Linked DNA regions of Drosophila melanogaster. Changing the gene in region 2 together with the main gene of any one other region gives a genetic interaction. Each region holds a gene or a part of one and is shown on either strand. Other genes may lie near its edges.

Evidence for each region. A genetic interaction does not mean that the proteins touch.
Region 1: of egl (region 2) and eve, changing one enhances a phenotype caused by changing the other (phenotypic enhancement), as found in Drosophila melanogaster (one study listed by BioGRID).

What each region holds. Positions count from the first base shown.
Region 1 is NT_033778.4:9,977,319-9,981,348, forward strand, and holds eve (even skipped), read left to right. Parts: upstream 1-2,000; 5' UTR 2,001-2,096; coding exon 2,097-2,235; exon of another isoform or gene 2,236-2,266; intron 2,267-2,306; coding exon 2,307-3,298; 3' UTR 3,299-3,477; downstream 3,478-4,030. UniProt on the Drosophila melanogaster protein: May play a role in determining neuronal identity. May be directly involved in specifying identity of individual neurons.
Region 2 is NT_033778.4:23,743,821-23,748,567, reverse strand, and holds the start of egl (egalitarian), read left to right. Parts: upstream 1-1,738; 5' UTR 1,739-2,368; intron 2,369-3,383; exon of another isoform or gene 3,384-3,470; intron 3,471-3,953; 5' UTR 3,954-4,065; coding exon 4,066-4,231; intron 4,232-4,747. Other genes in the region: CG13560 (uncharacterized protein), read right to left, coding at 424-969.

The DNA.
Region 1 (4,030 bases), about 14 Mb from region 2:
TCCGCCGGCGGACACTTTCGCCTAACCAAGCCAATCCAACCCATCCCAATCCAATCCAACCCACCCGATCGCCATAAAGGGTATTTACTGTCGCTGCCGCAGAGCCTCGCTTGACGACTTAACCCAAGCGGTCGTTTCGCGTCCATTCTCCGGACGGAGTCAAAGACAAAGGCCGGCGGAGGTGGACAATAGGCAAGGTTGTTGCTTGTGGGTAGGGTTTGAGCTATGAGCTATGAGCTGTGAGCTGTTAGCCCTGAACCCCGAACCTCGAGAATTGAACCTTTCCCGGGGCAAGAAGGCTTGCATGTGGGCCTTTTCCAGGTCGGCCAGTAGGTAGAGTTGTTGCGATGCGGCTATGCCGGGCGAGTTAATGCCAATGCAAATTGCGGGCGCAATATAACCCAATAATTTGAAGTAACTGGCAGGAGCGAGGTATCCTTCCTGGTTACCCGGTACTGCATAACAATGGAACCCGAACCGTAACTGGGACAGATCGAAAAGCTGGCCTGGTTTCTCGCTGTGTGTGCCGTGTTAATCCGTTTGCCATCAGCGAGATTATTAGTCAATTGCAGTTGCAGCGTTTCGCTTTCGTCCTCGTTTCACTTTCGAGTTAGACTTTATTGCAGCATCTTGAACAATCGTCGCAGTTTGGTAACACGCTGTGCCATACTTTCATTTAGACGGAATCGAGGGACCCTGGACTATAATCGCACAACGAGACCGGGTTGCGAAGTCAGGGCATTCCGCCGATCTAGCCATCGCCATCTTCTGCGGGCGTTTGTTTGTTTGTTTGCTGGGATTAGCCAAGGGCTTGACTTGGAATCCAATCCCGATCCCTAGCCCGATCCCAATCCCAATCCCAATCCCTTGTCCTTTTCATTAGAAAGTCATAAAAACACATAATAATGATGTCGAAGGGATTAGGGGCGCGCAGGTCCAGGCAACGCAATTAACGGACTAGCGAACTGGGTTATTTTTTTGCGCCGACTTAGCCCTGATCCGCGAGCTTAACCCGTTTTGAGCCGGGCAGCAGGTAGTTGTGGGTGGACCCCACGATTTTTTTGGCCAAACCTCCAAGCTAACTTGCGCAAGTGGCAAGTGGCCGGTTTGCTGGCCCAAAAGAGGAGGCACTATCCCGGTCCTGGTACAGTTGGTACGCTGGGAATGATTATATCATCATAATAAATGTTTTGCCCAACGAAACCGAAAACTTTTCAAATTAAGTCCCGGCAACTGGGTTCCCATTTTCCATTTTCCATGTTCTGCGGGCAGGGGCGGCCATTATCTCGCTACAGCAGTTCCCAAATGGTTATGGCTGGACACCCCTGCCGCCGCTCCAACGGGGTGGATGAAGCCCCCAAAACCCGAAAGTCATGGCAGCCATGGCAGTGTGGGGCTGTTAAACGTGCGGCATAATATTAAGACTTCATAAAAGCGCAAATAATTCGCTGGCAGGCGATCGATAATACATACATACAAATATATAGTGGGATACACACACTCTCTGCCGGCAAACACACACCACCCGACCCGACTGAGCGGCATAATGCCATATCATTCTTGATGAAGCCGATAAAATCCCATTATTAAGGGGGCCCGCCCGTCCCGCTCGCTCCTGCGGAGCAACCGCCTGCGGGCGGGCGAGACAAAAGATTCGCTCATCCGCTATGAATACCAAATCGGAACTCTCTCTCTCTCCAGCTCGGGAGTGCCATGGCCAGCATGGCCAGGACCTCCTCATGGTCCTGCCGAGCAGAGAACGCGGCTCCATCCCGCTGCTCCGGGTCCTGCTCCTCCGCTTTGTCCCGCCTCGTTATCGCCGCTCAGCACCGAGAGCACAGCAGCGCATCCACTCTCAGCACCGCACGATTAGCACCGTTCCGCTCAGGCTGTCCCGCTCGCACCTGCCTGGGTCGCTGCGATTGGCCGCTCCCAGCGACGGCGGCCATTTGCCTGCAGAGCGCAGCGGTATAAAAGGGCGCGGGGTGGCTGAGAGCAGCACACTCGAGCTGTGACCGCCGCACAGTCAACAACTAACTGCCTTCGTTAATATCCTCTGAATAAGCCAACTTTGAATCACAAGACGCATACCAAACATGCACGGATACCGAACCTACAACATGGAGAGCCACCATGCCCATCACGACGCCAGTCCCGTGGACCAGAAGCCCCTGGTTGTGGACCTCTTGGCCACCCAGTACGGCAAGCCCCAGACACCGCCTCCCTCGCCAAATGGTAAGTTTAAAGATAAAGCCGAGCAAACGTGACGAGTTACTTACACCCAATCTTTCCTCTGTCCAAAACAGAATGCCTATCCAGTCCGGATAACTCCTTGAACGGCAGCCGCGGCTCGGAGATTCCCGCCGACCCGTCGGTACGCCGCTATCGCACCGCCTTCACCCGTGACCAGCTGGGTCGCTTGGAGAAGGAGTTCTACAAGGAGAACTACGTGTCCCGTCCCCGTCGCTGCGAACTGGCCGCCCAGCTGAACCTCCCGGAGAGCACGATCAAGGTGTGGTTCCAGAACCGCCGCATGAAGGACAAGCGTCAGAGGATCGCCGTCGCCTGGCCCTACGCAGCCGTCTACTCCGATCCCGCCTTCGCCGCCTCCATCCTCCAGGCCGCCGCCAACAGCGTGGGCATGCCCTATCCGCCCTACGCCCCCGCTGCTGCCGCCGCTGCTGCCGCCGCCGCTGCCGTGGCCACCAATCCGATGATGGCCACCGGAATGCCCCCGATGGGCATGCCCCAGATGCCCACAATGCAGATGCCCGGACACTCGGGACATGCCGGCCATCCATCGCCCTACGGACAGTACCGCTACACGCCCTACCACATCCCCGCCCGCCCGGCGCCGCCACATCCCGCTGGTCCTCATATGCATCATCCGCACATGATGGGATCCAGCGCAACGGGATCGTCGTACTCCGCCGGTGCCGCCGGCCTTTTGGGCGCTCTGCCCTCCGCCACCTGCTATACCGGACTGGGTGTGGGTGTGCCCAAGACCCAGACGCCGCCGCTGGATCTGCAGTCGTCGTCATCGCCGCACTCCTCCACGCTGTCGCTCTCGCCAGTGGGATCCGATCACGCCAAGGTGTTCGACCGCAGTCCAGTGGCTCAATCCGCTCCATCAGTTCCTGCTCCCGCTCCACTGACCACCACCAGCCCGCTGCCCGCTCCAGGCCTCCTGATGCCCAGTGCCAAGCGGCCTGCCTCCGACATGTCGCCGCCGCCGACGACAACTGTGATTGCGGAGCCCAAGCCGAAGCTCTTCAAGCCCTACAAGACTGAGGCGTAAGCCCGCGATCCACACACACTCTCTCCCCCCCCCCCATGCTCCCCCAAAAGATTGTACAAACTAGTCTTAGTCAGCCTCATCTATTTATTCCCGAAGATTGTACAGATTGTAGAGTAGCTAATTGTAGTCATAATTAAGGCGCAAAATCAAATTAAGAAATAAATGCGAAAATAACATTGAAAATTATACGACACACACTGTTTATTTGAACTACCTGGTACCTGGTATTATCTACATATATATCAACATATATTCATATACCTGAGCTGAATCGCTTTTATGGACCTGGCTCTCTGGATTAGCTGTGGAGAAACCTGGCGGGACAGCTGCGCTGCTGACTGCTGACCTTCCCAGGGAAACTGTGGCAAATCGAACGGAAGAGCGGCAGAGCGGCAGAGCCGCAGAGCGTGCCGAGTGTCCTTCGGAGTGGCCACCCACAATCAGGAGTAAGGGTTCCCGATGCGGCACCGGCGGGGAAGGGAACAACATCCACGGGGGATTGGCACAAGCCAATGGCTTATTAATGCGATCCGAACGGATCCAAGCGGGAGGGCCCATTGCAAATGCAGAGCCACCCCGCTGGGCGGCGACCTTGGCGAGGAGTTGGGCCCACTCCCTGCCACGCGTCAGGTTGCATTGCCAATGGAATCAATTTCGGTGTCCTCGGATTGCATTGGGCTCGGCTAATTAATTGTCACCTCACCCGTTGAGTGACTTTTTTGTTTGTTGGTC
Region 2 (4,747 bases):
TCAGATTGTAACGAAAGCTATCTTGTGCTCGTTTCGAATTTTTTTGGACTGAATCGTAAACACTTCGTGGAATTAATTATCTTTAGTTCTAAAGCCTCGTGAGTTTATTTCGAAACAAGGTCTCATATATGTTCTGCATACTTTCCGGGCGTTCTGTACTTTAGGAAATTCGTTACTACGATAGTATGAAGCCGAGTCACTAGTTCAGATAGAACCAAATGGAGTGAGAAAGCTATGCGAGCTAAGAAAGCTTGCTGGTACATGCTGTGATTCTGTGGAGGACTGAAAACATTTCTCTTATGGTGTCTTAAGGTATGCAACACAAAATTGCATTCACATTTATATCTAGGGTTTATATTGGTTTTTCATGTAACAATTTTATTTGCATTGAGTTACAATGTCATGTGAGTTGGGATTCCCATTTCAGCCCCGACGGCGCTGCTGGCGCTGGCGCTCCCTCCTCTCACGGCGTCTCTCCTGGCGTCTCTGACGACGTCGGTAGCGACGACGCCTCTCCTTGCGGTTCCGCTTGGATGACGAAGAGCTACTGCTGGAGCCGGAGGATGAGGAGTCGCTCGGGGAGGTGGACGTGGTGGGCGATGTGGAGGGCGAGGTTGTGGAAGGAGACGGATTAGTCGAGGATGAGCCAGTTGAGGTGCTGGGGCTGCCAGAGGTGGTTGATCCCGTACTTCCGGTGCTGCCAGTGGCCGTACTTCCGGTGCTGCCTGTACCCGTGCTTCCGGTGCTGCCAGTGCCCGTGCTACCGGTGCCCGTGCTCCCGGTGCTGCCAGTGCCCGTGCTACCGGTGCCCGTGCTCCCGGTGCTACCGGTGCCCGTGCTCCCGGTGCCCGTGCTCCCGGTCCCCGTAGTATCGGTGCCCGTGCTGCCGGTGCCTGTGGTATCGCCACCAGCATAAGCGGTCGCCAAGATGGCAATAAGACCAAAGGCCAGGACGAATTGGAATCGCATCTTTAGCTCCGTCCGTTGAACACTGTACTCAAGTACTGTACTTTCTCTGCATTTAATTAGGGTATTTATACGCATCACCCACGATTTTTTTGGTTCATTTTCAGACTGTGTGTTTGCTCCGAATCATCATCATTTGCCGCACGTGGCTTAGTAGGATATTCTTGAGACAATTTGGCCGATGACTATCGAAAATACATTTGTTTGAACAAGTCAACAATGGGGGAATTGTGGATTTGTTAGATCTAGTTTATTCTAAGCAAGTGTGCAAACACAGGCAGCTCGGGTATTGTTTTGAGTTCTACTGAATAGCTATTCAGCCATTCTAGCAGTGCTTTAGCACTCGGCCTTATTTAAATAACCGCAAAACAGATGCGTGTTTGGTTCATAGAGATTTTGAAGGATGTATAAAAATAATATAAGATAGCAATGCCTTGAACGCAGTGGAGTTCGAGTTTTACTAAGGTTCAAGAGATAGGCTTATGGCGGGATTTTGACTCTTTAATGGAAGAGGTTCGTGTGATTAAAGCTGAATTAATAATTACTGAACTACCATAAACAGTTCTAAGGAATCTATACAATCTTTCAAAATGATTTCGAAATCCAATTTCGAATCGAAGCGAAACGAAACGGTCACACTGCTTAACAGTCGCGCCGCGAGACGTTGCCACCCGGCTAATAAAATACCAACGTTGCCGCTCAGTGGTATTCCCGCCTCGGCCGTGCACTGGCCACACCAGCCACCGCCTTCGCTTCGCCGCCCGCCATCCAAATTCGATTCGTTGGTGTTTTTCGCTGCGCTGGTGTTCGTGTGTTCGCGTTGGCGCTGTCATCATCATATCGTATCGCATCGCTCCGCTCCGAAAACCGTGGCAATTGTCTGTTTTTTTACCTGCCAGCGAGTGCGTTTCAGTTGCCCGCCAACCGGCAGGAATCGCAAATTCACGTGCGCCACTCTCCAATTGGACGAGTGCCTTTAAAACAGTGCAACAAGTGGTTTTTACAATTCTTACCAGCATTCAGTTCAAAGTGCCTAACAAACACACGCACACACATACGTAACCTACCTGACCAGCGCGCATATGTGTGTGCATGAGTGTGAGTGATACAACAACAATACAATAGCAGCAACACAGCTACGAAAATAACTAACTGCTTTCGTCGCAGTTTTTCTGCAAGTGTATGGGTTAATTGCGCCGAAAAATGTTAATTAATTGAAGCCCAATTGGAAATCGCCAGTGGCAAGAAAAGCTGAAACTAAGATCTGAACGCAGATCTGGTGAGAAATCCCAAACGCGAGGATCTGTATCGCGTGTGTGTCAATCGGTTTAAATATAGATCAGATCACAAGTGCACTTAAACAAACAGAAGGGAACGAAACAAACAAGTGATTAACCGACAGGTAATTACAGCTGCTCTTCTTTTGCATATTTTGCGCGTTTTCTCTGCCAGATATTATTCGCTTCTCCTTTATTGTTTTACCTTTCTTTCGCTTCTAATAAGACTCTTCTTTTTATCGGTGTGGCTGGAGTTTCTTGTTTTGCCACCCATACAATCGCACAAATACCTGTACAGCACATACACTCACACGCGCACAGTTATTGGCTGATTGGAATGTGTGTGCTTTGTTGTTGCCGTTCTCAATACATATTTGTTGTCAACGGTTTCTGCTTATCAATTGGAAAGCACGAACACAGCTACACCTGCACTTCTTATTGGCTTGGGCAGCCCTCCTGTTGGATAACAATAATGAGTGGCAAATTCTGTTCGGCCTGGCGAAAAATAGTAATATGCACTCCTGGGAGGGAGCTGGCGCTTTTCATTTTCCATTTCCGCTGCACATTTGTACCTTTCTTTCTGTGTCAATCACCTGTTCTGCAGCGCTGACACTTTTCACATGCCAATCGGCGGCAAAAATCAGAGGCAGCAACAAACAAATTAAAACGTGTTATATATACCCTTAGTCCCGTCGAGGTGCCAACTTTTGATCGCCAACTTTTGATTCCCACCGAATTCCATTCGAAAAGTCCAACCAAATCCCATTGTGCTCAGAGTCTTATTTGCACTAATCCCATGCAAATTCCAATTGGCGCGTTCCCATACAGACCAACATCGCTAGATAGAAAATCGTCTGGCGATCTTACGGTAATTTGATTTTGTAGATTAGCTCTTGCTTTTAAATGAAAGATATATAGAGCAGATATATTATGATTATTTACTTTCGATTCGATGCTAAGTAGTAATTGTGGCTTAGCGAGTTTTCACTGTTTTCAGTCACCGAATCTGGCGGTTTCGAAATTCTCAGCTGGCAACACTGATGCCAATTCGCCGTGACGTGGACTCCTTCTTTCGCCGCACAGTCAGCTGGCTGAATTCGCCGGTGTTTATGTTGTGGGCGCAGGAAGCAGGAAACTGCCAGTTGATTTCAAACTTTCAAGCGGCGCGCAAGGACATGCCGCAAGAGTACGGAAGTCGCAGCTCCTAGGAACGGTAGCAACTCCTTCGTACGTGTTTTACTCGCTTGAGTCTGTGCTCCTCAATTATTCACGAAGCAAAACAAAGTTTATGGCTCTGCAACTGCCCGCCGTTGCCTCGAATATTTTCAACTAGTGCAAGGCGAGCTACAAAAACAATGCAATGGCATGGGACAAGTGTCGAGATAGCGAGTGAGACGCACATAGCGTGCAGGAAAGAGAGAGCGACAGTGGCAAAGTGCAAATGTATTAAATAAATAACGAAACGAAGCTGTACAGAGAGAAAAAAATCATGTTGATTATGAACCATCGTAGAGTAAAGTAAAAGTGGGCATGCGAAAGATTTTGAGTAGGGTAAACCCTTGTTTCTCTCAGTGTCATCTAATATGTGCCTGCGGTTTGGCTACTTTCTGCCCTGTCTTTTGCTTTTGGCCGGCTTTCTTGGCGCATTGCATAAGTGTTGGCCATTTCACCTCACTAACGCTCTCCCCTTCCTCCTCCTTCTACCCGCAGATAAGCAGCCAACGTGACGTACTCGGGCGGATTAATAATTGAGCAGATAGCGGATAGCAGAGAGCAGCTAGCAGATATCAGATAGCGAATAGCGGACACAGCAGGCCCAGCAATGGAGTCCATGGAGTACGAGATGGCACGCAACATGACGTTGCTCTTCTTCCTGGAGCGACTGCTGGACAAGGGCGAGCCCCGCACCGTCCACGACCTGTCCTGCCAATTCGGCAACAAGGAGTTCACCAAGGAGATGCGCCAAATCGCCGGTGGCAGTCAGTCGGGTAAGTTCGCACTAACTAAGCCAGCACTTAGTAACTACACTTCGCAACAAGCAAATCCATATAGCCAAAATGCAACTGAAATAAAAATGAAGAGGCCTGCTATATTGATTGAATTGAAAACAGCTCTCTTTAATCAAAAAACTGGATCGAATAAAGTCAAGGAAAGTGCGCTGAAAATGCCGTGGCATTCAATTCATGCTCTCATTTGAAATGTCGCCAGCCGAGCCTGGGAAATTGGAAACGTGTGCGGTGGAAAGCGGTAGTGTACAGTGGACATTGGACACTGAACGGTGGACACTCTTGTTCGGCTGCGGTACATACATATACAATACATATTTGTGCACCTGCGGGTTTGCGTTGTTCGTCACAGTCACAGTCGATGATTGTGTTGTTCATGTTGCCTTCGAGTGGTCGGCGTCCAAGTGCACATGTCATTGCCGTTTCCATTTCCATTTCCAATTGCAGTTTGCCGATTGCCAGTTGCCGCAGGGGAGTCAGTCAGTCAGGCCTCCTCAT